Linked DNA regions of Lepisosteus oculatus. The protein of the gene in region 1 interacts with the protein of each later gene in a biochemical or structural test. Links are inferred from orthologs where the notes say so. Each region holds a gene or a part of one and is shown in the gene's direction. Other genes may lie near its edges.

Region 1 (7,430 bases):
TTCATAAAGTTTATGTAAATTATACATTATTATCGTTTTGAATATTAGCTGTCTTCTGAGTATACGAAAAATATGTAGCGGTATAAATGTAAATCTCAGTTCCAAGGGCGAAATGATGTTTCCATATTTCTCTTTTACGTTTTACTGTAATAGTAACTTAACCTCGTTTCTTTAAAGCTCGCATGCCGATGTAATACATATATATTATATCAGTATTGCCAGCAGCCATATCACCCTGCATCTAACAACTGGGAACCCACTGCAGTTAAGCAGGTATTAGCCTGGTCAGCACCTGGATAAAAGACCTCTGGGAAAACAAAGGATACTACTGGAAGAGGTGTTAGTGTGGGCAGAAGAGGGTGATTACTCACTGTGTGGGTTCTAATGCCCCTAATGATATCTGAAGAAAAAAGGTGAATGTAAATTGTGTTAGAGGGCTTATCACTTCTCATATGCCACATCTAATTTAATCTCAAAGTACTGTATGTGTCACTCACCTTATTTCAGTTTACTTACATGAATAAAGCATTTTTTCAGGTCTGTGTACACACTTGGGGTAAATGTTATGCTTTCACTCTGGATTTTTATTAAAATCCCCCTCACTCTCCCTTAAAGAAGGGAAAATCAATGTAAATCAATCAATCAAGGTTTATTTATCAATTACACAACAATACAGCATACAGCGGGGGTTGTCAGCAATGACATGCTTTTTCCACAAGCTTGCAAGGAGAGATAGGACAGAAGTTGATCGAATTAAGGTTACAAGTAGAATACAATAAATTATACAATTAACAAGATTTACACAATAGCATAAGGAGATATGGTAGGGATAGAAGATAGATACTTTATTGATCCCGTGAGGGAAATTGCAGCGCAACAGCAGCTTAACACAGACAACACAGCAACAGTGTAACGAATGATAAAATAATAATAATAATAATAATAATAATAATAATAATAATAATAATAATAATAATAATAATAATAATAATACAATACATACAATACAATCAGTACAGTGAGTGCACTAAGAAGAGTTCCTCAGTACAGAACACACAAAGAACAAACCAGAACAGAACAGTACACAAAAAAGTCGTATTGCACAATATAAATATAAATGTATTGCACAGGTCCCTGGCATATATTGCACAAAATGGTTGTAAACGGGAAAAAGAAAAAGAACAGATGTATCAGTTTACTGTTCAGTCCAGAAACAGGTCACTGTGTCAATGTTGCCACTGCCCAGATGCAAGGTGGATGCGTTGTACAGTCTTATGGCAGAAGGCAAGAATGACCTCCTGTAGCGCTCCCTGTCGCACTGTGGATGGATCAGTCTATTGCTGAAAGTGCTCTTCATTTCTACTAGCATGTCATAGAGGGGATGGGAGACGTTGTCCATGATGGCCTCTAGTTTGGACATCATTCTCCTCTCACCCACTACCTCCAGGGGGTTCAGGCCAGACCCAATGACAGAGCTTGCTCTCCTGATGAGCTTGTTCAGCCTGTTAGAATTCACTGCTCTTATTTCAGAGCCCCAGCATACCACCACGTAGAAAATGGCGCTCGCCACAACCAACTGATAGAACATATGTAGCATCTTACTACATACATTGAAGGACCTGAGACTCCTCAAGAAGTAAAGTCGGCTCTGACCCTTCTTGTAAATGGCCTCGATGTTCTTAGACCATTCTAGTCTATTGTCGATGTGCACTCCCAGGTACTTGTATGAGTCCACCATCTCCATGCCACTCCCATGGATGTGGGCAGGAGTAGGTTTGACCCTTTTCCTCCTGAAATCTACCACCAGCTCCTTCATCTTTGTTACATTCAATTGCTGGTGGTTCTTCCCACACCACTCCACAAAGCTGTTGACCAGTCCGCTGTACTCCTCCTCCTCCCCACCCTTGATACATTCCACAATTGCAGAGCCATCTGAGAACTTCTGCAGGTGGCACGACTTTGAGTTGTATTTAAAGTCTGAAGTATAGAGGGTGAAAAGGAATGGAGAAAGAACTGTCCCCTGGGGAGCCCCTGTGTTACTTACTACCTGTTCAGACACACAGTTCTGAAGTCTCACAGACTGTGGTCTGCCTGTCAATAGTCAGTGATCCATGAGATAATGGACACACCGACTTGCATCTCCTCCAGTTTCCTCCTTAGAAGTAAGGGCTGAATAGTATTGAAGGCACTGGAGAAGTTGAAAAACATGATCCTTACAGTATTGCCAGCCTTGTCCAGGTGTGAGTAGGCCCTTTGCAGCATGTAGATGATTGCATCCTCCACACCAACACTGGGCTGGTAGGTGAACTGTAGGGTGTCCAGTGAACTAACCAGGGGTCTCAGGTGGGATAAGACCAGCCTCTCCAGTGTCTTCATTACGTGAGAAGTCAGTGCAACTGGTCTGTAGTCATTGAGGACAGAGGGGCGCTCTTCCCTTGGTACCGGGACCAGGCATGATGTCTTCCAGAGCACAGGGACTCTCTCCAAGCGCAGGCTCAGGTTGAACAGTCGCTGGAGCAGTCCACTCAGCTGATCAGCACAAGCCCTCAGAACTCTGGGACAGACGTTATCTGGTCCTGTGGCTTTACCCTGGTGCAGCCTCTTCAGCTCCCTCTTCACCTGGTCAGCCGTGATGGTCAGCCTGGCCTGGGGGATGGTGCTCATAACGCTGTCAGTGCTGCTGGTGTTAATGGCGGGGTCAGAGATGTCAGGGAAAGAAAAAAAACGCAGGTACACCTTATCAGTTTCAAGTGGACTGACTATTTATCAGTGGTTGTTTGGGTAATTGCTGGCTGCCATGGTTGGCAGTTTAGCAGTTTTATTGCCTGAGGGAAAAAGCTGTTTTGAAATCTGTTGGTCTGTATGCTTCGGTATCGTTTTCCAGACAGTAGTAGAGAAAGGTGGGTAGCTGCGTCAGCATGCGTAGGCTGCAAAGGAACAAGTAATAGGTTTATTCCATTCCATGTGTGACACCTGAAGAAGGCTCCACGGCCGAAACGTTGTGTTCTCTTTCTTCTTTTTTTCAGTAGTAGAGAAAGCAGATTATGGTTGTGGTGACTGGGGTCCTTGAGAATAGACCTGGCCTTTATGAGGCATCTAACAGAGTAGATATGTTCTTTGTTCGGTAGCACGCAGGCGGTGATGTGCAACAAAACATGATGATGGACTACAAAACACTGGGATCAATTAGGGTACAGTGACACCGGAATAGGGTTATAATTGGGTACATGTATAAAAGGGTCCAAAACCAAGGAAACTATTTACATAAATCCGGGCGATCTCGCGACCGTATACACCGGTTCCGCCATTGGTCTGCCGCACTGGCCAGCGGCACTCCTAGTCCCTGCCCTGACCACCACTACTCCCGTCCTGCACCTGCAGGCGAGGGCGCTACAATAACATACTTCAATTCTACATTTTAACTATACTGTATATCCTAGTATTTTATTTGTCTTTTTAATTTCTTCTCTTTACTGCCTAGAAGATGCCTATGATGTGTAAACATAAACACCTAAGTCTTTTCCCTAAACCTCTTAGTTAGAATATTTGTATTTATAGTTTTATTTATTTATAGTTTGTAGTTATAGTATATATATATTTTTACCACCAGCATGCCATACGCTGCACTTGTGTACACTAAACACAACGTGCACGGTCGTGTTTTATTTTTACTAAATCGTTATGTACAGTATTTCATTTGCCGCTTCTGCAATCTTTGCCAATCCCCCTATTTTGGCATCATCTGCAAACTCCACTAAAGTTTACGAAGAACACTGGTCCTGCTACAGATGCCCGTGATACTCGACTAATTACTTCACCCCAGTCTGAGTATTCATGCCCTATTTGCTCCCTGTTTTCTAGTAACCACTTCTTAAACACTCGCGTTTCCCTGAATGTTATTGAGAACTAGCTTGACATTTGCAATTAGTTTGAATATAGAGAAAGTGGAAGTAGCAGAAATAGCTACACAGATTTGACAAAAATATAAGGGATACACTGCTTAAACTGTATTATTACAGAAATAATATGAAGAAGTTGAAGCTGTGTAGGTGGTGTGACCGCTAGTAAAGAGGGAAAGTTTCCATGGTGAGATGTCATCAAAATGTACTCGGTTGCAAATAAAAGTAGAAAATACAACAGGAAGAGTTATATAACTCTAAAATCATGGGTATACAGGCTGGATCAATGTACACTTGTGTAGTAAAACTTTCAGTCGCATTGACTAGATCATTAGAAAGTCTCGCAAACTCCTACGTGATATTTCGAGGCTACCTAATCTAATCTAAATTGTTTATAAGTAAAATATAACACAGGAAAGTACGACTGTCGTCTGCGGTCCTGTCAAAAATACTACTCAGACGTTCTACCGTAAAGCAATTCGTTTTTATTACGTCTTTATGTTTGGGGAAAGGTTTCAGATTTCACAATATTCTGATAAAGAAAAGTAGAGCAATTGAATGCGATTTAAGTTAAAAGCCATCATTTGCAAAGTTAATTTTTGAACAAGAAAGCCTGCAAAGTCGAACCACAGAACAGAGCTTCTGTATTGTTCAGTATTGTATATTTCAATGGAGGAAACAAAACAGATAGCCTTCATCTACGAAGAGTCATGTGATTGCAGTGCTATTAAAAACGAATGAAGCAGAAACGATGTTTAACTTCTATATTTAATTAAAAATAAAAAGATATACGTTGTGTTACTCATCTGCTTCAAAGCTTGAACTGTTTTGTTTATGAATGAGGAGGACTTCCTGCAATGTTTTTTCTTTCAACCTAGCTACATACGTCATGTAATACTGCGGTGTGAAAAAGTTTGTCACATACTGTATTGCATGTCACTTTACCAGTGTGTTGCACTTACTGTAGCACAGTGGAAAAACAACTTTACGGGCAACATGGCTCCATAAGTAATCATATTTGCCCTCTTTTTTATTCAACAGATTGTGACTTGTGAAACATGGCCAATAAGGAGGAACTAGAAGAAAAGCTTAAAAAATTAATTGTGAGGTTAAAAAATGTCCAAGAAGGAAAGCAACTGGATACACTTATTCAGATTCTTGAGGATTTACTCTTCCTTACTTTTGCTGGCGACTGTGGTGAGTAGATGGTAGATACAGTACTATATCGATGTTGTCCTTTAGAAAACATACTTTAGGCAGATCTACTTGAATTATAGAACAATAAACTAATTTTACTTTTAGAACTACGATTAACTCCTGCCTCTTCACACTCTGTGCTATAAAAATAAAGTCTTCTCGAGCTACAGTATAGTTGCAAATCACTGTAAATCAGTTATCGTTGAGCATCGTATCTACTTCAAAATGGAATTACTGATAATACTGTCTATTTTTTTCAGCAACAGAATTATTTGAAGATAAAGACGTTCACCTGCCTTTAATGGTGGTCTTAGATTCTTACATTGACAGTCATGCTGTACAAGAGGTCAGTGCGTATTATTTACTGATGCCATTTTAACGATGGTGGTGGTTTTAGAAAATATATTAAGACCAAGCACCAGATGATACGATTTTGGGAAAAATAAAAAATCTATTTTTCATTGCAAGAGTTTATTTAAAAAGTGCAATGTTCACTGGGGAAAAGGTGTTTAGTTAGCTTTTTCCATAAAATATACAGTAGTTATTTATGCATTATTGTTTTCTAATTAATGGTAATGTTTTAATGTCCCCTTTTTATTAATTCTTACCTTAATACTTCTGAATAGTGTTGTTGTTGAGTTTTATCCTGATTGCTGTACAGAGACATTAAAATTGAAATTCTCCATACTGTAACAACTCTAATAGTATCAAGTTTTAGTAATACTGTCTTAGAAATGTCTTATATATTTTTCTTATAAATGTATTTATAAGAAATGTGCCCATGGAAGTTAAAGTGCTTGGTTGATAAATGTTTTAAATTATGTATACAACAGTTTTTATTTTTGTGATTATGAACTAATTAAGGGTGATTGAACGTTATAGGGCCAACCTGGAAGACGCTGAGGTTATTGTACATAGGAAACTTGCCTTACAGGAATTCCAAGTGCTTTTGAAGCATGTCCATGAACAGCTTTAGGAATCTAAGTTTGAATGCCTGAGCATCTGGCTTCTTGTTCTTGGGAATGGAGGAAGAGAGCCTAAGTTAAATATTTAACCCAAAAGCAGTTTTCATTGCATTTTATGAGTGGTATCAGGGTGTGTTACTGCTCGATGTTATAATACATTCTTACTTTATTTAGTAAGGCAGAGAACACATCCCATACCAAATGGCCTGAAATGCCTTTTAAGAACTGATGAACGCTTTGGAGTCTTAGTAATTGTTTTCTGATGAAAAATCAACAGTACTGATCTAAAACTGAATGGGTTTGATCCTAAGGTGGGATGGTCATTGCTCTGCAGACTAATGGAAGTTTGCCCTTCTACTTTGGAAAAGTTATCAGCTCCACAAGTTGAAAAAGACTGGGAAGTACTGGGAATACACCAGTAAGTATGCATGTTTATCTCTTCTGCAAATTCATAAACTGATGTAAACTTTCATGTTTATGTTTTGTGTTTCTAGATGTGAAGAGGTTTGCGGGCTTGGGTGATAATAAGGAATTGAAATGACCGCAGTCCACGGCATTTATGTTCCTGCAGGGTTTTATTAAAAATAAATCAAGCTTGAATGTTTAGTTTACTTAAGTAGATGCTTAATGAAGGAAGGAGGTGACTGGGGTGTTTGGGGAAAATTTGTTTGGGATGACATGAACTTTAACTTTTTTTAATTTTCTTTCTTTAATGTACAGTACAAGGAAGGAGACACCTAGGTTGCAGGTCTGCAAGTTTTACAATAAGATGTTGAGTCACTTCCTCTGCAATTTTGAGAACCACAACTGCTAACAGGCCTTTGTTAACAAGAGGATGTGATTTTTTTCTTGTTTGTGCCATTAATTGGGTCTGCTTTTAGCACACTGTTTGAAGCAGCTGAAAAATACAAAAAGATAAGCCTTTCTGTTTTTATTTAGGTTGCATGTCAGTCTTTCTTATTTTTCTCACAATGTGTTTTTACAAAGGCAGATTCTGAAGATGCTGTCTTTGCACAATGGCCATTCAAAGCTGATGATGATTGGACTCAGAGCTTTATCGCATCTTTTACAGTCAGGTTGGGGCTGTTTAAGTTTTATCCCAATTTGATGTACTGTATACGCATATAACTCAGAAATGGTTATATGTGTTATTAGTCGACGTGTCACGTACTGTATCAGTTTTTAATTAAAATCATATAATTCTGTATGTTTTAGTACTTTGGAATACATTTTTTCTCTAGGCACCCTCTTTTTATCTGTTTTAGATAATGAACTCACTTTACATTACTTGTATTGTCTGTGTAATAATTTTAGATGAAGTAACATGCTTAGATTTTTAATTATGTGATTCTCTCATTGTTCCAGATGC
Region 2 (6,943 bases), on another chromosome or scaffold:
CCCAAGTGGATCAAAGCTCCCGCTCTTTCCCCGTCGGGCCTGGGGCTCGGGATCGAGTGGCAGGGCCTGCAGCTGACAGGGGCGGGCGAGGGGCCCTCTCACCTTCCTGCGGCCGCGGCCGGCCCTCCTCTTCATCGCTTCGTAGAACATGAACTGCACCGCGGGGTTGAAGACCAGGAGGAGGGAGGGCAGCGTGCCGTTCCACAGGGCCCCCAGCCCCTCCCGGGCTGCGATCTGGGAGAAGGCATCTAGAGAGACAGGGGGGGGGCTGTGTTACGCAGTGCCTGCAGGACAGGAGTTGACTCATGTGGTCTCATGTCAGGCCCAGCTTTAAAAGCCAAGGCAACACGCGGCGTGGTCTGACAGGGTGGCTCACCGAAAATGCCCTTATAGTGAGTCTGCTGAAGCTCCTCGTTCCTGAACCTGGCTCCCTGCAGCTTCAGCCTGGTGTTGACGACCCACATGGGGGTAGTCAGGAGGACATTGACGGCCCCTGAAAGACACCGTGAGCTCAGCCGGGCTGGGAGTTCAGCCTGCAGAAACCAACGCCTCACACGTTGGCTTCAGTACAACCTCTTCTCGGCTCACGCGAGTTCTGTCTAGACTGTGGGCGGCGCCCTCTCACCCGAGATGAAGCCCATGAGCAGGTCTCTGCCCGGCCGGGACCGGCCCCTCTCCAGCGCCCACAGGGCCTTCAGGGTGTTGAAGGTGTAGAAATACACGAAGTTGGAGCAGCAGAGGCTGGAGATCACGGGAAACCAGCCGCGATACAGAGCCGGGCTGCAGGAAGAAGAGGGAAAGCCCGCTCCCAGGCGTCACACATCCGCGGCGGCTCAGGCCCCCCCGAGCCGCGACAAAGCGGCCCCCGACCAACTACCCTCTCCGCCATGGCCGACCTGCGCTGCTGTGGGCAAACGCAGTCCCTGGCCAGAGCGCAGCAGCTGCTCACTAGCGCCTCCTCCCCCTGGGGGAGGCAGGGGACCATGCGCCCTGCGGCAGGTCCGGCTCGTCACGAGACCCCCCCCCAGCCGCCCCGGACGCCGACCCCGGCTGTACTTACACCCCCTCCTCCTTCGCGATCTCGGCCAGGATGACGGGAGTGGACCTGGACTTCCGGTGCTCGTCCACTGAAAGTGACCAGCCACACAAAACCGTCACCGCGGCGGCCGGAACTTGACCATCAGTGTGCAGTCCCTCAGAGCTCAGAGCAGAGCCTCAGCGCTGGGGGACTCTTCGAATAAAGACCGACACAGTGCCCATTCTTTCACCCTCCCGAAGTCAAATTGTTTTTAATAAAAAATCACCCTCAGTTAACATCAGAGCCGCCTTTTAACCCTTTCAGAACAATAACGAGAACAAAGCAAAATAAACACTGCCCTCAAACAGAACAGACATGGCCCCAGTGGGCGCTGTGCCCAGTTAGACCCAGGTTCATGAGGTCAGGAGGTCATGTGATCACGGGGCACCTGCAGCACAGTGCAGCTGTCCCGCGGCGGGTCTGGGTCTTGTGCTGGTCAAGAGTTTGGTCTGAACCGAAAGCGTTGCTGGTACCCCTGCCCGTCTCACCTTGCAGCCGGATCCTGGCCGTGTCCAGCGGGAAGAACACGCTCATGGCCGTCGCGCTGCCCTGCGGAGGCACGGAGCGGCGGGGGGTTAGCGCCGACACGGAACAGCCCGCACTTTCAACCCGCCCCTCGACGGGGCTTTTTCCGCTCGGGGGCGGAAAGAAGAAAGAAAAAAAGGTCCTGAACGATCAGACCTTGGCACGGTTACTTTTTGCAATGAGACGCTTGTCATCTGCGTTGACGTATTTAGCAATGCGGTAGTTTGTATTTTGTGTTACCGTGAAGCACGCTGGCCGGGGCTCTGTCTCGGTCCGCAGACCGGATACAGAACCCGCAGCTAGGCGCCGGTCAGATAAAAACTCGCACTAAAACATGACTTTCCGAGACTTCTGGCACCAGCGCGATGGCGTTGAAGTGAAAAGTACATAAAGACGCGTTGAGACCCTGAAATCCGAGCTCAGCTCGTCCAGTTTGCCCCGAGTCTCCTACCACAGCCCCAGCGACGGCGTGTACGAGGGTCTCATAAGACAGCAGGCCGACGGCGGCCACCGGGGGCTCCGACATTTCCTCCTGCTGAGGCGGGGGCGACATCTCGGCGCGGTCCTGGCCAGGGCGCATGTATAACACCACCGGCTCCAACTCCTCTCCGCTCCCGGGCTGACTGCGGCAAACGGCCCTCCCTCCTCGCTTCCTCCTGCGTGCAGAGGAGGAGCTACGCCGGAGATGGCTCTCTGTGTCCTGTAGGGCGGGGAGGAGGGGGGAGGGATCCCCGACATACAGGTGTTTCGGGTCCGACTTGCGGGAGTCCAGGAGAAACTGAGCAGGAGGCAGCGGGTTTGCGCGAGTTCCGTTCAGTTTAGTTGTCACCTGCCCCAGCGCAGTGAAATGCTTATTTGCACTTAGGCTCCGATACAAAGGCAGTAAAAGAAATCAACAGAAACAGAAACACAGAACAGCTGCAGCAACAACAACAACAAGAAGTTAAAAAAAAAACATGCAACTTAAAAAAAAAAGTCAGACAAGTAGTGTAGGTTGGGAACATCAGGGTGAGCCATTAGGCGAGGTATTGGGGTGCTGTTAAGGGGTTTTCTTGGGGTCTTTTGAGGGTGCGGGTCTGTCTGGGTTTCTGCGGGCAGCCTCGAGTCACGTGGGTTTTAGCGAGCGCCCCCCAGAGGAGAGTCCCGGTACTGATTCGGGCCCGGGCTGTCCCGCAGGCAGGCGAGGGAGCCCAGACAGGGCCGGCTTTTCCACAAGTAAGGGCTGAAGAATTCACACCTCACTAGCCACGACTGGCTCGGCGGAAGAAAAAAACAAGAGGAGCCGAATTCGCGGCGAATATTTTAATTAGAATCAGCTCCGTCAAATCTCTTTATGTTTAATATCCCCTGCTCTTTTTTTTTGCGTTTGTCAAAAGAAAATTTTAAATATTTCGTTTTGGGAGTTTTTTTTAAAGAAACTTTGGTTTACCCTAGATCATTTCACTTCCACTGTCTTCCATACTAATGGAGATACTAGTACTGTCTAAAGGGGTTGGTTGGTGCTGAATTCATGTTGCACGAATTATATTTTGTTGTGGGTAACTTTATTACTTATGTCTATTGCACCATTGTGTAGTTTGCTTTTATATTGCTGTAGGGCGACTCGTTGATTGCGAAATAAAAGTATTTCGTGAATAGCAATGTTTTCCGTTGTGTTAAAGCCAGGCTCTTAACGGTGTAATCCTACAATGATCTCGGCTAGCCGACAGTGTAACAATGGCGGCACTGTAGGCTCATCTGTAGGAGTGGTACAATAATAACAAGAGAATTAACTGACCTACCGAAAAGAGCTCCTCCTTTGACCTCACGTCTTTAATGAGCACATTGAGCAGACAGAACAAACTGTTCCCACAACCCGGAGGAATTAAGACCCCCTGGTTCCAGATCTGCGTGCGTGTCGGAGCGGAGGCGCATCATCTTAATTACAGCAGCTACTTATTTCAGGGCGAGCCTGTTCAACTCAACTATTAATATATTTAAAATAGAATTTTAAAACCCATACAGCAATTTTGTTGTTATGAAAGATATGACTGTGTGCATAGTTGAATCATGGGTTATTAAGACGTACGGTATTAAGTAATATGTATATATTTCTAACATAGTTCAGGTGGGTAGCTGTGTCACCATGCGTAGGCTGGAAAGGAACAAGTAATAGGTTTATTCCTATTCAGGTGTGGAATTTGTTTTCGGCACGGACTAAACCTATTATTTCTAACATATACATGTTAGAAAACAAGCCTTATTAAGTCATATGTAGTTACAGCCTTAACTAGAACATTATTAAATTATTTTTTTAGTTTTTCTCGTTCAAAAAGTGACTTTAGTCAAAGAAACAAAATAGATATCTTATTTTATTGTAATGTCTCCTTGGATATAACACAGATCAAGTCACTCCATGTCTCGATATGTGATACAATTATATTTTGATTTTTGTCGAAGAGGAGGGAGAGGGTGAATTTCATTCTCCTTCTTGTAACACACCGCAAAGAGCGGATCGATGAAGTCCTCGCCGTACAAACTGGCGTCTCCCCATTTGCGCCACCTTCAATGCACACCGAGCCAGGAGAGATGGACTTTGCCTGCGATTTATGGCCCAGCAGGTGGAGGTGGCGACTCGGCCTTTATCTTCAGCCCTTGGTGTTGAAGAGACTCTTGTTTTCCAGGCTGGCGGGGGCGATCATGCGAGGCGTCCTGCGGTAGAGGCGCTGGTCTGTGTCCCGAGGTCTCGCCATCAAGCTGAGAAAGAGAGAGGAGCGGCACCGGTCATCATGTCTACGAGGTACCATAAAGCGGCCATCGATGGCTATCTGGACCTGCTGAAAGAGGGTACCAGGAAGGATCTGAACACCCCGGATGAGGACGGCATGACCCCGACCCTCTGGGCGGCTTTCCACGGACATCTCGAGGCGCTGCAGCTGATCTGCAGCAGGGGGTGAGTAAGGCGAGGAGCCGGCATCCGTTTCGTCGAGCGGCCGGTGAGGCGACTCACCGGGGCGAAACCCCAGAGAAAACCTGACCGTAGAGGACAGACAGGATTAAAAAGTACACTTCTGTAGACCACGAATGGCAAAACCTACCCTTATTTTTTTAAACTAATATTTTGTGTGCAAAATGCTTGAAAGTCCCATTTCCATGTATGAATACAACGTAGTTTTAACTTTTTTTTCCCTTTTGCGTAGTGTCAAAAAGCTTTTAGTTTTCTCAAAAACAAAAAAAAATCCATCAAGAGATTTTTTTAATTAAAAATATTCACGATGTGAATTCTGTTCTCCAGCAAATAGAGATCACATAAATGGTATTTTTCCTCCTACTTATGCTTCAATAATATGTCAAATGTACTTATATTCACCCCCTCCTTACTTTTTAATGTTCTCTAAAATATTCCGTATGTATTCGGACGTTGATTTTGTCGCACAGCGTCTTAACGATGTACAGGATATTATTACGGGATACTTTACAATATTATATCGGCCGGTTTCCCCTTCATCGATCTCTTCCGCCTGTGATCTCTTTGATCTGTTTGACTTCAATCTAACGGTATCTCAGCAGGTGCTGAAAGAGTTTTTCGATCAGAAAGCGGATGGCGCGAGTGACTTAACGTTAATTTAAACGCCTTGAACATCGTGTAGCTGGTGCTTTCATTTTCCGTTCGCCAAACGACCCGACAAGAATGATGCCGGAGTTATACTGCGATCAGCGACCATCAAACCAGCCTCCCCCAAGTGCTGTAAACAAGCGCTTCCCATTTTAATGAAAAAAAAGGGAATACACTCAGAAACAAAAGCCTACAAACAGAAGGCAGAACAAAAACAGAACGGAGTTGCTCACGTCGGCTTCCTCAAAGGTGGGTGGGGTGGGTGGTATTGCACATACCTGCAAAGTCTCTTCATGGGATGAGACCTTTATACCCTGCAAGAAGACACTTCCTCAGTGCTCTAACACAGACATAACGTCACCACAGAGAGTTCTAGACACTTAGCTAGCAAGGTCAGCTGAGCTCTTTGTTTTTGCATTGCACGGTTTTTCTTTTTGTTCACCAGTTCCTCCAGTTTTCAACTCCACTCAGTTCAGTCTCCAAACACCCGGAACTTCCAACAGCAGGTCAAGCAATCCGGACCCCAAGACAAGAGCTGGGCTCTTCCTTCCTCGCGCTTTCTCCCAGGGAATCCACTGATCTCTGGGAAGGTGGCGATGGTACAGCCGCACGCGGCTCTCGTGAGGCCCAGACCAGTGAACGCGTGGGGGAACTGATCTGGGGACCGTGCAGCCGGTGTCACTTGTACTTGTGGGTTTGTCAAAGCTTGAGAAACGCGAAAGGACACCACGGGCAGGTATCAAAGGTTGCTGTGAGATTATCACCTGCTGTATATAACAGCTTTCAGCAGTTATCAGTGCAGCTTTTTAATCACACGGGCAAAGTGATCAAACATCGTTTTTTTCTGAAACAACAGAATATCATTTCAACAAACATACTTTTCTCCTGGGATTTTGTTGCAGGACCACATCAGCCTGTTGAAGCCTTGACATATTTTACAATGGCTTTTTTTTTTGCTGCGTTTGTATCGTGAAATATCGTTTAAAAACTCTCGCCCCAGTTTGCGTCACTTGCAAAGCTTTTTGGGAGCTGAAGCTTTTTAGGAGCTGAATGATGCCAGAGATCTAATCAAGCAAAACAGAATAATGCTCAAACAACACAAAGGGCTCTTTCAGTTCAGAGAGGTTTGAGACTTTACTCTGCAGCTTTTCAATCGCATGTGTTCACACTGTAGCAGGAGAGAGCCAGAGAGAATTTTAGTCATTATAACAGAAAAGATCTTACATTGTTTAAAAAGTATTTTAGTGAACATTAATGTAATGAGGGTGAAAGAACAATAAATGATGTGTAACAGCTAATTACTTTATTTTATGTTTTTATTCTTCTCTTTAAAATTGGAAAAAGTTGTCAGTTTGTTGATGTGTCTTTCCAAAACATAGTTAACAAGAATCATCACTATCATCACCATCATCATCATCATCAATTTCAATGAAGGCCAGTTCAGGGTCACGCTGGCCCAGAGCCTATCCCAGGAAGCACTGGTCGCAAATCAGGATACGCCCTGGATGGGACACCTGTCCATGGCAGGACTCACACAGACATTTGTGTAGTTGCTAAGCGACTATCACCTAGCGGGCATTTTACAAGCCAGTAGATAATATACATGAGGACTTTATTCTTAATACCTCACCAGTTAAGTATTCGGCGGTTGTCACATGCAAACATACTGTAACAACCCTGATCTCCTTACCGTGATAAAAGCTGTTTCCATTGGAAAATCAGTAGGATAATCAATTGCTTTCGGA
Region 3 (7,151 bases), on another chromosome or scaffold:
GTGTAAAGCATTCTTGGATCCTTTGACATGATTAGTGCAATACAAATGCAAATAATTTATTTTAATTATATGCATCTGACAAGGTTCCTTATGCTTTTATTCAATCTTAGACCCATAACCTCTGATAAACATCTAATACTCAAAATATTTACTCAAGAGTACTTTATAGAATACAGTTTAGAAAATGATATGCTTGATATTCTGAGATGTCTTAAAATACAATCCATCTCAGTTCAGTTTATTTGTCATATACACAACTGCAATGAAATATCTGATACAAACACCAAAACATAAACACAGAACAGCAGCAGCAACAAGTAGCTAAATAACATACAACTTTAAAAAAGCAAGTCAGACAAGCAGTGTGAGAAGAGAAAAAAACACATCAGTGTGAGTAATAATGTGGGTGTGATAATGTAGATGGATTTAGTCAGTAGTGAGGGTAGAATTCAGTAATCTGACAGCTTGCGGAAAACATCTGTCTTTGAATCTGGAGGTTCGTGCCTTTATGCTCCTATAACGCTTACCAGAGGGAAGGTGGGAGAAAAGTGATAAACCAAGATGATTGTTGTTCTTAGTAATACTTCCAGCCTTCCTGAGACAGCGCATTGTAAAAATGTCCACAATAGAGAGAAGCTGTATTCCAATAATGGACTGGGCTGACCTGATTGTCCTCTAAAAACGCCTTTTGGTCAGACAACGAGCTGCTGCCAAACCACACTGTAATGCCACATGTGAGCACACTTTCAAGTGCACCTGTAATGTAGTAAGGACAGTTAAAGATAGAGCTAATTTTTGTCTGAGAAAGTAAAGGCACTATTGTGCCTGTCTTGTAGCTCCAGTTACATCCTGGGACCACGTTAAATCATTAGTAATGAAGGTATCCATGAACATACTGTACATGGAGATCATACAAACACCATGCAGATATTACTCCAGGTCCGAATTAAAACCAGGGCTCCAGCATTGTAAGGCAGCAATGTTAACAACTGTGCCACTATGCCCACCAACAAAACATAGAATTTCTTACTAATATTGCTTTGCAATTGTATGATGAAAGTGTTGATATAATAACCTACATAGTTCAAGTTCAAGTTTATTGTCATCGTACTCATATACAGGTATATGGTATAACAAAATGCTATTTAGCTAGCTCTCAGACAATACGTAGTACAAAAAAATAACAATACAATTGTATAATACAAGAAAGACAGAGACAACAGGCAGTGTGCAAAAACAACAACAGGCAATGTGCAAAACAACAAAAGGTAACAGGTAATGTGCAAAACAACATCAGATATGCAAAAACATGCATCAATAGAATGAAATAAAAGGATAGAAAATTATGGGGAGTGAGCTTTTTGACATGTAACATGGAGGTAGATTTCAATGTGTGTTTGAGTTTTTGGTAAGAAAGAAGGCACTGTGAGGTTCAGATCATAGAGAGGCTGGGAGTTTAATAGTTTTAAAGCGTAGGGGTAAAAACTGTCTCTGAGTCTGGTAGTCTGGGTCTGAATGCTCTGGTACCATTTTCCAGATGGTAGAGGGTCATACAGTCTGTAGTTGGGGTGTGTGGGGTCTTTGATGATGCTTAGAGCTTTCCTCAAGCACTGTCTGTCATAAATGTCCTGTATAGATGGGAGGGCAGCCCCAGTGATGGACTGGGCAGTTTTCACCACCCGCTGTAGAGCTTTGTGGTCAGCAATACTGCAGTTGCCATACCACACTGTGATGCAACCTGTCAGTGTGCTTTCTGTAGTGCATCTGTAAAAGTTAGTGAGGATAGAAGGGCTTTGGGTGATGTTTTGGGAAAGTGGGCTAATTATCACATCAAAAGAAGTGTTTTGATATCTTGTACCTGTGTATATGTTTTTATTCCGTTGTGTACAAAAAGAAATCAAGGTTACAGTACATTATCTTCTGGAGTTTCTTTGGTTTTAATCCTAATCATGCTGACACATTAATCACAAAATGACACCCACCTTACCATTATTTGTTATAATTATAAAATATCATACAGTACACTGCAGTTAAGGCTCTGTTAAGAAGGTATTCAAATACTGTATGTTTATGTTTAGTAATACTAGCAAAGTGGTGCAGTGGTTAGTATTGCTGCCTTGTAGCACTGGGGATCTGGGTTCAATTCTACATCTGGGGTGTTCTCTGTTGTGGAGTTTTTATGTTTTCCACATGTTTAAGTGGGTTTCCTACAGGTGTTCTGGTTTCCTCCCACAGTCCAAAGTGAGACTTGTAGATTAATTGGTTTCTGGGAAAATTGGCCCTGGTGTGTTTGTTTCTCTGTCTGTGGGTGCCCTACCATAGACTGGCATATTGTCCAGGTTGTATCCTTCCTAGTGCCCATTGCTTGATGGGATAGCCTCTGGCTCCCCTGTGACCCTTTATTGGATAAAGTGGTTACAAAATTGTTGGGTTTTTAAATCTTATACACAAAATATAATGTACAGTAGCACTATTTGATTACATGCAAATTAGAAAAATATATTTATCTTGAAAGCAAAAAAGAGCTATGAAATGGAGTAACTAATTTGCATTGCCCATTTTAAATTAAATGATATAATATGCAGCATTCAAAAGTTTTACATTTGGAATATACACGTGCTTCACTTCCAACAATTAATAATAACCCTCACATTCAAATTAACAAAAATAATTAAACGTTATCCTTGGGACTGCAATAACGTGACTTGTTTACTGGCATAAGAACCTTCACATCCTTTGTACAATGTATTAATAACAGATAATCCAACAGGAATCTTTCAATAGTACAGAAATCCAGAGGATGTGAAGCCCCAGGAGATCAATGACATGACAAAATAGCACAGAACCCCAGATGCCTTCTCAATATGACAAAGCCTTCATGAAGGGATTATTTATAGCAAATGCCCAGTTCTACAGGAACTACAGGGTTTGTAGTGTATGATGACTGCTGAGACTCTTGTGAGGATGTAACTCTCTAGTCTCTAGGAGTGTTAAATATCCTGCAGCAGAGACCCGTTTTTGGCAAATGAGTTTGATTTTTGTTTAAGTTTTGAAGATAAGGGTGTCAGATTTATTTCAGTCACAGCAATTTCCATCTGAGATTCAAGTGCAAATGCCACAACTTTGTGATGTTTTGGATTAAATATGTTTATGCTGATCAGCCCTTGAGCAGTGCTGTAACAAGCCACAGTTTGTAATTAACCTGTTACACATACACCATTCATCATCTTTGTTTGTTCATGATTTCCATATTGTTTGTATCATCATGCTTGACCAAACTATGGAATATCCTAGATTACTATATAATGTGGCTCAGAACCTTTGTACCTAAACCCTGGTATTCAGTAGCTTTCCTGGCTTTATTTACAAGAAAATAAAATATTCTCTAAAGATATATAAAACGAAAATTCTTCAGCTACTATTAGTACTATTGCTAAGGATAGAAGAACAATTTGGACAGTTCGTGGGGGGTCAATGCAAAGCATGGGAGACCTGTATTATTAACAGACCAAATATTGGTGACTGGGAATCATTCTGAAATAGTGTCTCCCTGTCATAAAAGGGATGTAAAGTTCATTTGATTAGTAAAACTGAAAAGTCAATAATCTAGATTTGTTCACTTAGACAGATTAAAAGTACTTTCAGCTGCTGATGTATTTGTGGTTTCACAGAAGACCAAGCAGAAAATGTGTGTGAATAAAATCTTAAAATCTAAAATTAAAAACTATTATTTTAAAACAGATATAACTGTCTATTGTAACCATAGCGTGAGCAGTATCACCAGTATCAGGTTACTTTTGCATCTCCCGTCCATATAAACTTGAAATTTAAAGAGACGGCTTAATGAATATTTTAGTCATCGAGTATATAACGCAGTGTAGGTTCCAAGCTTGTAATAATTAACTGGTGCAATTTGAGACCTCATATTTTAGAGTAACTTGTTTTGATAATTTTGCATTTGTTTTCCTCTGCAAGTGAATTTCTGCAAGGGGCTCGCCCCACCCCCTTTCTGTTTTACACAGGGCGGAGACGGTTGCCACGGAGAAGCCTTGAGCCACAACAAACAGAGAAAACAAAGCATTAGAAGAAGATTGACAGCACCGTGAACGAATTATAATGCATACTTACAAGGGCGGGACTTCCAGCAAGTTAGCTAGAGAGCGAGAGGGTGAATTGAAGCGGTTTGGTGCCGCTGAGGATTGTAACCTGGTCAAGTCAATGGTATGTAAAATGTTTTTTAAATATATTCTTGTTATCACTAATCTGAAGTTTATCCTGTATTCGTATACGCGTGGTTTTTGTCAAATAAAAAATACTGATACTGATTTTCTTAACCTGTCTGACACTTTTCAGGCCCTGCTTGAGCAGCATCTTGACCTCGTAATATTAGAATACGCATTTTGTACATCCACTCCTAATATTATTAAAAGTTCATTCAATAGTTCGTCATTTTATATCGATTTGTTACATCTGGTATATGGATTTTAAATATAATTATGGTAGAGCTAGTGCTAAAAAAGTTGTAATTTATTTGACCAAAACTTGTACAAGATGTTTGGTGTCTACGATAAATGTAGTCTGTTAACAGACTAATTGGTGGCTTTATTTTCTTTTGTAGGTTTCTAGAGATTCGCTACAGTTTATGCTAGTGAGAAACGTGTAAGTTTCTCTTGAAAATCGAATTGTCAGACTTATACTGTGTGATGAAACTGAACTTCATAAAAACAAATATTGCTACACATTATTATCAATGGCAAACAAAATTTGGTGAAGCAAATTTGGAAAATTAGTTATTTATAGAATTACAATTAAAAAGATACAGTTCCAGTTAGAAACGTTTCTAGGTAATAATATATAAATTAAACAAAACAAGTGTAGGGCAGTCCTCCCATCTAGCTCAATTGATTGCTAGTGGGTGAAACCCTATAAACGGCATCTGCGGCTTTTAACCCTTAACAGCTTGATTGGGTAGCTTGTTCCCGCTCTCACAACCCTCTACTGAAATTGTGAATCCTGAAAGTTTCAAATGCACTTCTTTGGTTCTGAATCAGTTATTTGTGTAGATTGTGGCATTCCCTTTAAGGATTTTGATTGCTTTAGTCAGTTATTCTTGTTGTATTCTTCAAGTTCAGTCAGCTTGTCAGTGTGACAGTTCTGTGATCCCAGAAATGTATCTTGTTGATTTTAGAGCAGCAATATGTTTTTTTTTAACGTGGTGACCAAATTGCATTGCACTGTTCTAAATTCAACCTTTGTTGAATATTACTAAAATCTGTATGCACAGTCTGAAATCCAAAATAAACAGGACATTTCCTTTTTATTATACTCACTAAACCTCCCTACTTTAAATGGGGGTCAAAATTTAAGTAGAGTAATTAACTGAGTAAATGATTAATCTTAATTTCAAATTGTAAGGCTGATAAACCACTAGGGACATATGGCTTTCCAGTGAATTCCATAAGGTATTCAAAAACAGTTGGCTTGCCCACCTATAATTGGATAAGGGAAGGAACAAAGCTGTTATATTTGTTAAACCAAAAGAAGGAAAAGATTTAAATGTGGGTTTCACCAACCAGTTTCTGTACTCAATGTGGGCTACAAGATTTAAGCTTCAATTTTTTATCCCAACAATTAAATTTAGATCAAACAGGATTATTTCAGAATACACATAGACAAGATAACATTACATACTCTCCGTATTATCAAGTAATAGAGGATAAAAAATATGGGCGATCTTGGTTAGACTAGATGCAGAGAAAGACTTTGATTGATTCAGTTCAGAATTTTTATATCAAACATTAGAGAGGTTTGGATTTGCTGATGTATTAAGACATTTAATTAAAATCTATTCAAATTCTACAGGGCAAATTAAGATCAGTAGAAATGTTTTTGACATATTTTGCTTAAAGAGAGGTATAAGACAAGGATGTCCCCTGCTAAACCTCCTGTTTTCTTCATACATAGAACCTCTGGCAGAATGGATTAGGCAAGACCCAAAAATCAAAGATTTTCAAAGGACAAGAAGATTGCAAGCATTGTATGCAGAGGATATCCGGCTGTATTTGGATAATCCTAATGAATTTCTTTGCTAGGATAGTGAATCTACTGGAGAAATTTGATATTGGACTATAAACTGAATATATAAATAAATTGAAGTTTTGTGTGATTATAACCCACTGGATCAATGAAAAGAAAGGTTTAAGCTAAATTGGCTATAAACATCCATTAAATATTTGGGAGTTAATTTATCTGAAGACTTATCAAAACTGTTTATTTCAAAATTCAGCTCTCTCTCTTAAAATAAAAGATGATCTAGCTAGCTGGAGTCTGCTTCTTCTCTCATTGGGATTTAGAATGCAAGTTATTAAGATGATTGTACTATTATGTAACATAATATAGAACAGTGGTTCTCAAATGTTTTGGACCAAGTACCACCCCTGATCAAACCAAAGCATTCAAGTACCACCTACAAGTCATCTTCTCATAGGAACTCCAGAAATCCTCAATGACCAACATGAGCGCACATGCGTGCACACACTCACATACACATATAATAAATATTATAATAATAAACTTTATTTGATATGGCGCCTTTAAAGGTGGCTTCTCACAGCTTTTTATTAAAAAATAATAAAAAAGCACCATTTCAGTGAGAGGGGTGAGCCTGTTTGGTCGAGTAAAGCAGATGTGAATTCATTTTTCGAGCCTTGATACAATTCGCAACAGAGTCTAACAGATTTTAAATCGTCAGGCATTTTCTTGATTGCAAAGTTCTCGCAGTGGATGTTGCAATGCGTCCATTCATTTCTGGAGTAACCTCTCTAATTTGTGTAACTACACCGCTGTGTCGGCTTGTCATCCTAGCACCATCTGTACAAACTCCGACGCATTTTATCCAGTCGATGCCATTCTCTTCGATAAATTCATTCAGAAGCTGAAATATGTGCTCTCCTGTAGTTTCTGTTGGTAGTGGTTTACAGAACAGAAAGTCCTCATGGGACGTACCCTCAAACTCGTACAGTATCTAACGTAAACAAGCAAATTGGCCAAATCGACTAAAGACTGATCTAATTGCAGTGAAAAGCATCTGCTCATTTTAACACGCTCTACCAGCATACTTTTGATATCATCCACCATTTCAGTAATTCTGA
Region 4 (7,340 bases), on another chromosome or scaffold:
TGGAACCTGTGCAAGTTGTTTGCTTCTCAAATGCTGGAGATTTTAAATTACAAACAGCAAGAAACCTCTAACATTTAAGAGTAGAACAAAAAAATCAGAAGATACTGAGCCATCAGCCACCTGTGAGCGACCAGGATTGGGATCTGGAAACTCCAGTCTAAAGATTATGTTTGTGGAGATAATAAGTTATAAATGTAATAATAATTTGTAGCATTTAATTGCAATACATACAGGATTAAGAATATTTATTAAACATCAATTTCCTTATAATTTCTCTACATTATTAAAGTAAAGAGCATAGCAAGACTATGATATATAAAGGAGTACTGGTTTCAATCTCATGCAATCTGTTTGATTGTGGGATAATTTAAAAGCAGGTTTATTTATCCTGTCAAGTCTGACCTTTTCTAGACAGACAACTGCTGTGACTGTGTCTTCAATTTGTCATGAAACTAAAAACCCTGGAGGCTTTCAATTCCACAAATCCAGCACATCTCTTTGTGTTGTCTTGTTTAGCACAGTGTACTTTCTGAAAGCACCAGTACCACAAAGTGAAATTTTTGGTATAATTTGCAATTGTTTTTTTTAATGTCTGCCCATTCAATTTACTCACAGTGAAAGGGATATCATTATATTGATTACTTAGGAACATTAGCTGTGTAGAAAGTTAGTTTCTTTATTCCTCCTAACAGCTCCTGTATTCACAGGTATATATGGACATCTTATTTGGTGTCTCTTCCTGCTACAGTTATTACTTTTTAATATCTTCAGATACCTGAATGATAAGATTTTTTCACATGATAAGTTTTGAAGTGCCCTGAGTATACAGTGTAGTTCATATCTGTGTGTGAATTCTTGACATAGTTCATGACAGTATTAATAAAAATAAATCAATATCATGTTTAACACATGTTTATCTGGCATAATGACGCATCAATATGAATGAGTGATCTACAAGATTTAATCAGTTTATCAGAGAAAAGGTACAATTATAGCTGTTTTATATGCCTGTGAAGTATATGGTTAATTATGCCACTAAATAATAATAATAACTAATAATTGCTTACACTTATATAACGCTTTTCTGGACACTCCACTCAAAGCGCTTTACAGGTAATGGGGATCCCCTCCACCACCACCAATGTGCAGCATCCACCTGGATGATGCGACAGCAGCCATAGCGCACCAGAACGCTCAACACACGTCAGCTATCAGAGGGGAGGAGAGCAGAGTAAAGAAGCCAATTCATAGATAAATATATGAATAGCATATGGTCAAAAAAAACTTTATTTCTAATATAGTGGGGCAGAACCATTTTGCTGAAATCTTTTTTTAAAATTAGAATTATTAAAAAATTTAAAATTAAAACAAATTTAGCTTGAGAACATTCACAATTATTCATCTTCAAAATCTATATATGTGTATAATGATGTTGTTTAAAAGTTTTTCTGTAATACTTAGCATATAAAATCAAATTAAATCTACTGCTTTCCCTTCTGTTATATATTATTTATATTGTTTTGAATACTGCAGTCAGAAATACTGCTGAGGGGCTTCTAAGTGTTACTATAACTCTTTGTCTTCTAGTGTGAATTGCAATGCAGTGGAAATCTACCATGAAATAATATGTGCTGCTAAATTCCAACAAAATATTGAATCTTGAAGTTATGAGTCTTTTAATTTACCACTTGAGCTTACTGATTGTTCAGAATCCTTCATGAAATGGATTTTTCTAATCTGTTACAGCATAGTTGAATTATTGAAAACTGAAAACGGAAATATGAGTTTTGCAGGCACCCCAAAAAATGTCTTATTTCAGTCTGGCCCAATGCTGCTATGAACACCGAGACAGAACAGGTTAATAATTAAAATAAGTAAATCAAAAGTCTAAATTGAGCATTAATCATTCAAGACATCATTCTACATGCATAGTTTTTCCCCACACACCGTACGTGTATGTATTTGCAATGCATGTTGTATGTATTTCTTTTTTCAGTAAGCCCAATTTTATTTTGTATTAATCTTCTTTTAATATATTTCTGTTGTATTTACAGATTGACCCTCAATCCTGTAAATACTACTGATCACCGATGCCTGTGCCAGTCGGTGCCTGAATTTAGGACATTTTATACCTTTGTAAATGTGGGATTAAAAATAATTTATGGTGTTAGTTGCAATCCCTATACATATATACCGTAATATGCATTGTAATGGTATTTCATGGCAATCAAATATTTATAAATGTTCAGTAAAGCTATCCTGTCTTAATTATCTACCTGATGGAACACAATGATAGTCCTATTTGCAGTTTTAAAATAATAAAGACACTGCAATTTACTGCTTCTGTTACATCTTCAAAAATTGTAATTGTGATCTAGGTTTATTCATCTTTGACTTCACATGGGAAAGAAATGCAACACCTCAAAGAAACTGATTTGAATATTGTCAGAAGCTGATTACATACAACAAAAAGCAGGAACAGGGTGCAAAATATTGATGTTATTTCTACACTAAACCACTCTACATACAATGTTAATGACATTTTAAATTCCAAACAATTAGGCTCACAGCTGGATAATGAAAAATTAATTAACAATCCTACTTAACAATAAATCACAGAATATAGCGTTAATGTGTACAAATCAGAGTTTGTTATTTGAAACCTTATAGAAATATAGTCACATTAATTCCAAAAATCAAATGTTTTGCATATGCAGCTATAAATGTAGCAGTTATTAATATATATAGTTATTATATATAGTTCTAGATTAGAATGAAAATCTTAATCTTAATCTGCAGAAATCAATCAAACACCTTTCACAACAGAAAGGAGGCATAATTATGGAATCTTTTTTCTCTTTTTATGAAATATAGTATCGGATTTCCATAAATATTGATATAAGAAAGCAAAAATAATCTTCACCACATTGTTCAATTTTCACATTGTTTCATTTTAAATACAAGGCCTTGTTTTAATTATGGATAAATTTATATCACCACCATTTTATTCCATGCATGTTATTCATGGTTTTTAGGTTTTATCATTGGTTCTTAAATTCCATGTCCATGCACTATTTTAGCAAAAATGACTTCTATAAAGTATCTTCATGACCTTTGTCAAGACTAAATGTGCAGCAACTCATACACTCATATTTATATACTGTATGTTTCCAGTTTGCAGGTTTGATGACATTAGAAATTTCTGCTAATAGTGGATCAGTCGAGCAGCCAGTATAAAAAGATGTTTTGCTGCGTGTTCACAAATGTCTGTGAAACTATGAAACCATTCAAGCCACAGCAGTTGACACAGCTCTGTTTGAGGCATACAGTAGGTAGTGGAATTCTGGTATTCTGGAATTCCACTTCCTATTGGTGGTGTATTTATTTGCCTGTAAACCTTGGAGACTGCTAAATTGATACATTAGCCAGGTATTCAGTGATGCAGCTGACCGAGACACTTGCACCAACAGCCATACTGTATCTCTTGTGCAGTTGCTTATATCATTCTAATTTCCCATAGCACAGCATAATTATGGAAAGACTCAGTCTGCAGGTTCTTTACAGTTCTCAGGCATTTGGGGACTCACCATTTGTTGAACTATTCCCATTACTTTGGACACAATAGGTCACTCCTACAAATAGATCATATTTATCTCTAGTTCAGTGGGGTACTGTGTATAATAAGTATTTAGAAACATGACATTCTACTAAAATTCACGGTATATGCCAGCATATCAAACTCCAGATTCTCCTTGTACAAAATTCAAAATTCCGAAATAGAAAACTTCTGCTGCCTCACTCCTTTTCTGCATGCTGATAGTGTTTCACTGCGATCTAAATAAATACATTTGAGGAAATATTAAAAAAGCCTTAGTGCTATTAATAAATCTGTGATTGATAAGTATTCGAAGTAACTACGTTTTTTCTCAATTCAACATTTCCTTACGTTTTTAACGTAACATTTGGCGTTTCGTTTCAAGTCTATTTGCCACAAAACCTAACATTATTATATAAGTATGATCTCTCTTTTTGTATTCTATACACCAAATAAATTACTAATTAATTTATTTTACTTTTAAAAAATATAAAAAGCTGTAATTTACAACTCAACCGAAAAAAAGAAAATAATGGAAACGGGTTTAATATTTCGATACAACGCATGAAGTTCAACGATAGAATATTATTTATGCGTATTCTTGGTGAAGATTTGAATATGGAAGAGCACTTTCCTGGGGGTGAGGGGGGGGGGGGGGGGTTAATGACGCAGGTCACGAGTAAAAGAGAAGCCTCCCACGCCTTTTCAAGCAGTAGCTTGTTTCATGTGCCTCCCCCCTGTTTATATCAAAGCAGAAGGAGCCTGCCTGCTGTAGTGAGCAGGAGACCCTCGATGTAAAGCCTTCGGTGGAAGACGACGCAGTTGACTAGTGTCGCGTCTGACTTATTTACTCGCTTAGCACTGATAACATCGGGGAAAACAACAACAATAATATCCTGCGAAAAATAAGAGTTGCAGCACTTTATCATAATGAAGCTTATGATTCTTGTTTTTCTTGCGGTTTCTTTCCTCGGAGGTAGGAAAGCAGACTTATAGTTCCATTCGTATTAAAACTTCCTTTCGACTTCATGCGTATTGAAAAGGAGTATCGTGCTTTCAGCACCGTGGACAGCAGACATGTTCAAGGGTTATTTTAGAGATATGGTGCAGCTCGCGTAGATGAGATTCAAAGTTGAAATACCTTTTGTACACCAAAAGAATTGTGTTATTTAATTTATATATATATATAAATGTGTGTTTGTTTTGCTTATCACGATTCCATATTAAGCTTGTACCTTTTTACATTTTTACATTTATGGCACTTTTGCTACTGCATGCTGAAGATGGATTGTATAAGAACAGGATAATATATAGTTTACAAAATGTAGGTTAAACCTTACAAAACGTATTACAATAGCACAATCTCTTTCCTTACAGTAGCCGCGGTAGTTACAGAAGCAGTAGCAGAAGCAGTGTCAGTGATAGTGGTATAACCACTTTTAGGGCTATCATAAATGTATAGGTTAATTTTAAACATGTTTTTTAATTTGTGCTTGACAGATATCTCATCTGTGCCTATCGAGAAAGAAAGAAAGAAGGAGGATTTGGTATGTTTTCATTCCTCTTAAACTTCATAATCTAAGGAATTCTTAAAAAAACAGGACTTGTACTCCTGCTGCTAAAACAGGAATATATTAAATAACGAATATATTTGTATTTAATTTTAGGTCACTCGTTGCATTGCCGAAGTAATTTCCAACGCACTTTCAAAACCAAACGCTGCTCCTGTCGATCCAGAATGCAAAGAAATTATTAAAACGGGTAAGTTCAGAACAGCTTTGACTCGTTATTTGAAACTTCAGCAATCAAATGAACTTAATTGAATTGAAGTTGTAATGCGAACAAACGTTTTCGATAGCACCTTTTGGACTTGCCAATGTGTGAGAAATTAAGAATGTTGAATTCAATTTGTATTAAAATATTAGTCCTTAAATATTTATATGAGCTGTTTATATGGATTTATAGAACAAGTATCATACACCAATTGTCTTTATCATTCATTCTTCTGCTGCATTATTATTTTATAGAACCATTTCTTTATACAAATAACTAAAGTAGTGTTTAGGAGCAGTGATATGCAGAAATATTAATATGTCCAAAATTCTATGTCTAAAATGGTCTAATTGTATATATCCCAGACAGCTCAAGTCTTGCACTCCAAATGTGAGATGCATTTGTACCTTGTCTTGCATTTCCACTGCATTAAATCTCCCAGAGAACTCACACTAGCTTCCAGACAGATTACTGTAATTTGTGTAGTGCTCTGCTCTGGATGTGTTACTAACTTTGATTTGCACATTGTATTGACTGTATACTATATGTCAATTGCACTAGATGAAGTATAAAATGGTTTTAGCTGGGGCTAGTTGTGTGTTAGCAATTTGATAGAAATCTCACTTACATATCTTATTCTTCATAATAGTCCCATGTTATGTATTTATATACTGTATCTACTCTATTTAAAATCATTAAGTGATTATTAACAAATCTGGTATTATGTATGTGGGCATGACATAGAAAAAATAATAATAGGAAAATGTTGTCTGTAGTCTCCTGGTATCGTCAAAAACATATAATTAAATTATTTATTTAACAAGCTCAGCTTATCCTGAGTGAACAAGCACTAACAGATTACAGATCATTGTATTCTAAACATCTAAACAGCAAAATAAAGCAATATTTCAAGCAATTCCATTATTTACCCAGTGTTAGGACCTTCTTGACACTACGGTATTCTTTTTGAGTGAGACGCATTTCTAAGAAACTATCAATTTAATCAATAATATATTCGTAACATCAGTTTCTATGGTCTTCTGTACTTTTTCACACATCAACCAGTGCTTTTAGAAAATGAACATCTTTACCCCTCATGGGAGCCTATTATTTAGACTGATATCACTTGGATCATGAGCTGGTCCCAAGTCCACTGACACGTCCAGGCAGCCTATATCTTCAGTAAGGGTTGCATACAAGAGTCAGAGGGGGGGAAACCAGAGTTATAATAATAATTTGGAAAGTGCTTAAAGCAATTTCGCAAGGCTTCTGAGACTCATGTGTTTTTGTATTTATAAATAAGGCACACATTTTAGAATGTAGGCACAAAACCCTAGTATCTTAAAACTGTTGATATGTTTGAATGCTAATCATAGTTAATATTTCTAAAAACTGCATCTCTAAGACCTTCAAGTAATATTGAATCAAAACATTTTCTTAAAACCATAGTGTGCTGTCATTATGAATTATATCAATTGCTTGGTGCTAAATGAATATCATAATTCAACGTGGTGTTTCTACAAAAGCAGCAGAGGTCACCAAGGGTGTTGTTTATTCTTGGGCAGTTTTTTTCATAATGTTCTGAGAAATATTTGGAATTCCAGGGCATGAATGAAAACAATGAGAAATATGATCACTGAACTTGAAAGATATAATAAAATTGTCTGTGCCATTTCCATCTCAGGCATGTATCTACTTCCAATGTAGTATATACAGTACAATAAAATATGAGATCGTATTTTAGCTAAAGAAATTGTGCTGATTTACAAATCAGATGGATGCATAAACCATTAATGTTCATCTAAATTGCTTTTGCTTCACATAAAATACATTTTTAATGGTATTCTATTTTGTCTTAGGAATGCTGTTAGACTGAGATGTATTTTCTGTTTCATGCCTCTTTTTCCACATTCATGATATTGTATTGGCAGAATAGTTAAAATGAGGCTGTGTATTACAAGTTATATTGCAA

What was found.
Region 2: the proteins of lrrk2 (region 1) and anks4b interact on a protein array, tested with the Homo sapiens proteins (2 studies listed by BioGRID and IntAct, with this or other methods). The link is inferred for Lepisosteus oculatus from reciprocal best matches to the Homo sapiens genes LRRK2 and ANKS4B.
Region 3: the proteins of lrrk2 (region 1) and nek1 interact on a protein array, tested with the Homo sapiens proteins (2 studies listed by BioGRID and IntAct, with this or other methods). The link is inferred for Lepisosteus oculatus from reciprocal best matches to the Homo sapiens genes LRRK2 and NEK1.
Region 4: the proteins of lrrk2 (region 1) and chgb interact on a protein array, tested with the Homo sapiens proteins (3 studies listed by BioGRID and IntAct, with this or other methods). The link is inferred for Lepisosteus oculatus from reciprocal best matches to the Homo sapiens genes LRRK2 and CHGB.

Annotation. Positions count from the first base shown.
Region 1 is NC_090702.1:37,348,523-37,355,952, forward strand, and holds the start of lrrk2 (leucine-rich repeat serine/threonine-protein kinase 2), read left to right. Parts: upstream 1-4,411; 5' UTR 4,412-4,957; coding exon 4,958-5,096; intron 5,097-5,356; coding exon 5,357-5,442; intron 5,443-6,372; coding exon 6,373-6,479; intron 6,480-7,048; coding exon 7,049-7,137; intron 7,138-7,426; coding exon 7,427-7,430. UniProt on the Homo sapiens protein: Serine/threonine-protein kinase which phosphorylates a broad range of proteins involved in multiple processes such as neuronal plasticity, innate immunity, autophagy, and vesicle trafficking.
Region 2 is NC_090714.1:16,472,426-16,479,368, forward strand, and holds the start of anks4b (ankyrin repeat and SAM domain-containing protein 4B), read left to right. Parts: upstream 1-3,931; 5' UTR 3,932-4,191; coding exon 4,192-4,535; intron 4,536-6,943. Other genes in the region: slc25a17l (peroxisomal membrane protein PMP34), read right to left, coding at 103-248, 377-493, 626-780, 1,061-1,127, 1,567-1,627, 2,055-2,183. UniProt on the Homo sapiens protein: As part of the intermicrovillar adhesion complex/IMAC plays a role in epithelial brush border differentiation, controlling microvilli organization and length. Plays a role in assembly of the complex.
Region 3 is NC_090696.1:51,779,719-51,786,869, forward strand, and holds the start of nek1 (serine/threonine-protein kinase Nek1), read left to right. Parts: upstream 1-4,139; 5' UTR 4,140-4,221; intron 4,222-7,151. UniProt on the Homo sapiens protein: Phosphorylates serines and threonines, but also appears to possess tyrosine kinase activity. Involved in DNA damage checkpoint control and for proper DNA damage repair.
Region 4 is NC_090697.1:40,572,810-40,580,149, forward strand, and holds the start of chgb (secretogranin-1), read left to right. Parts: upstream 1-4,328; 5' UTR 4,329-4,525; coding exon 4,526-4,571; intron 4,572-5,095; coding exon 5,096-5,142; intron 5,143-5,262; coding exon 5,263-5,356; intron 5,357-7,340. UniProt on the Homo sapiens protein: Secretogranin-1 is a neuroendocrine secretory granule protein, which may be the precursor for other biologically active peptides.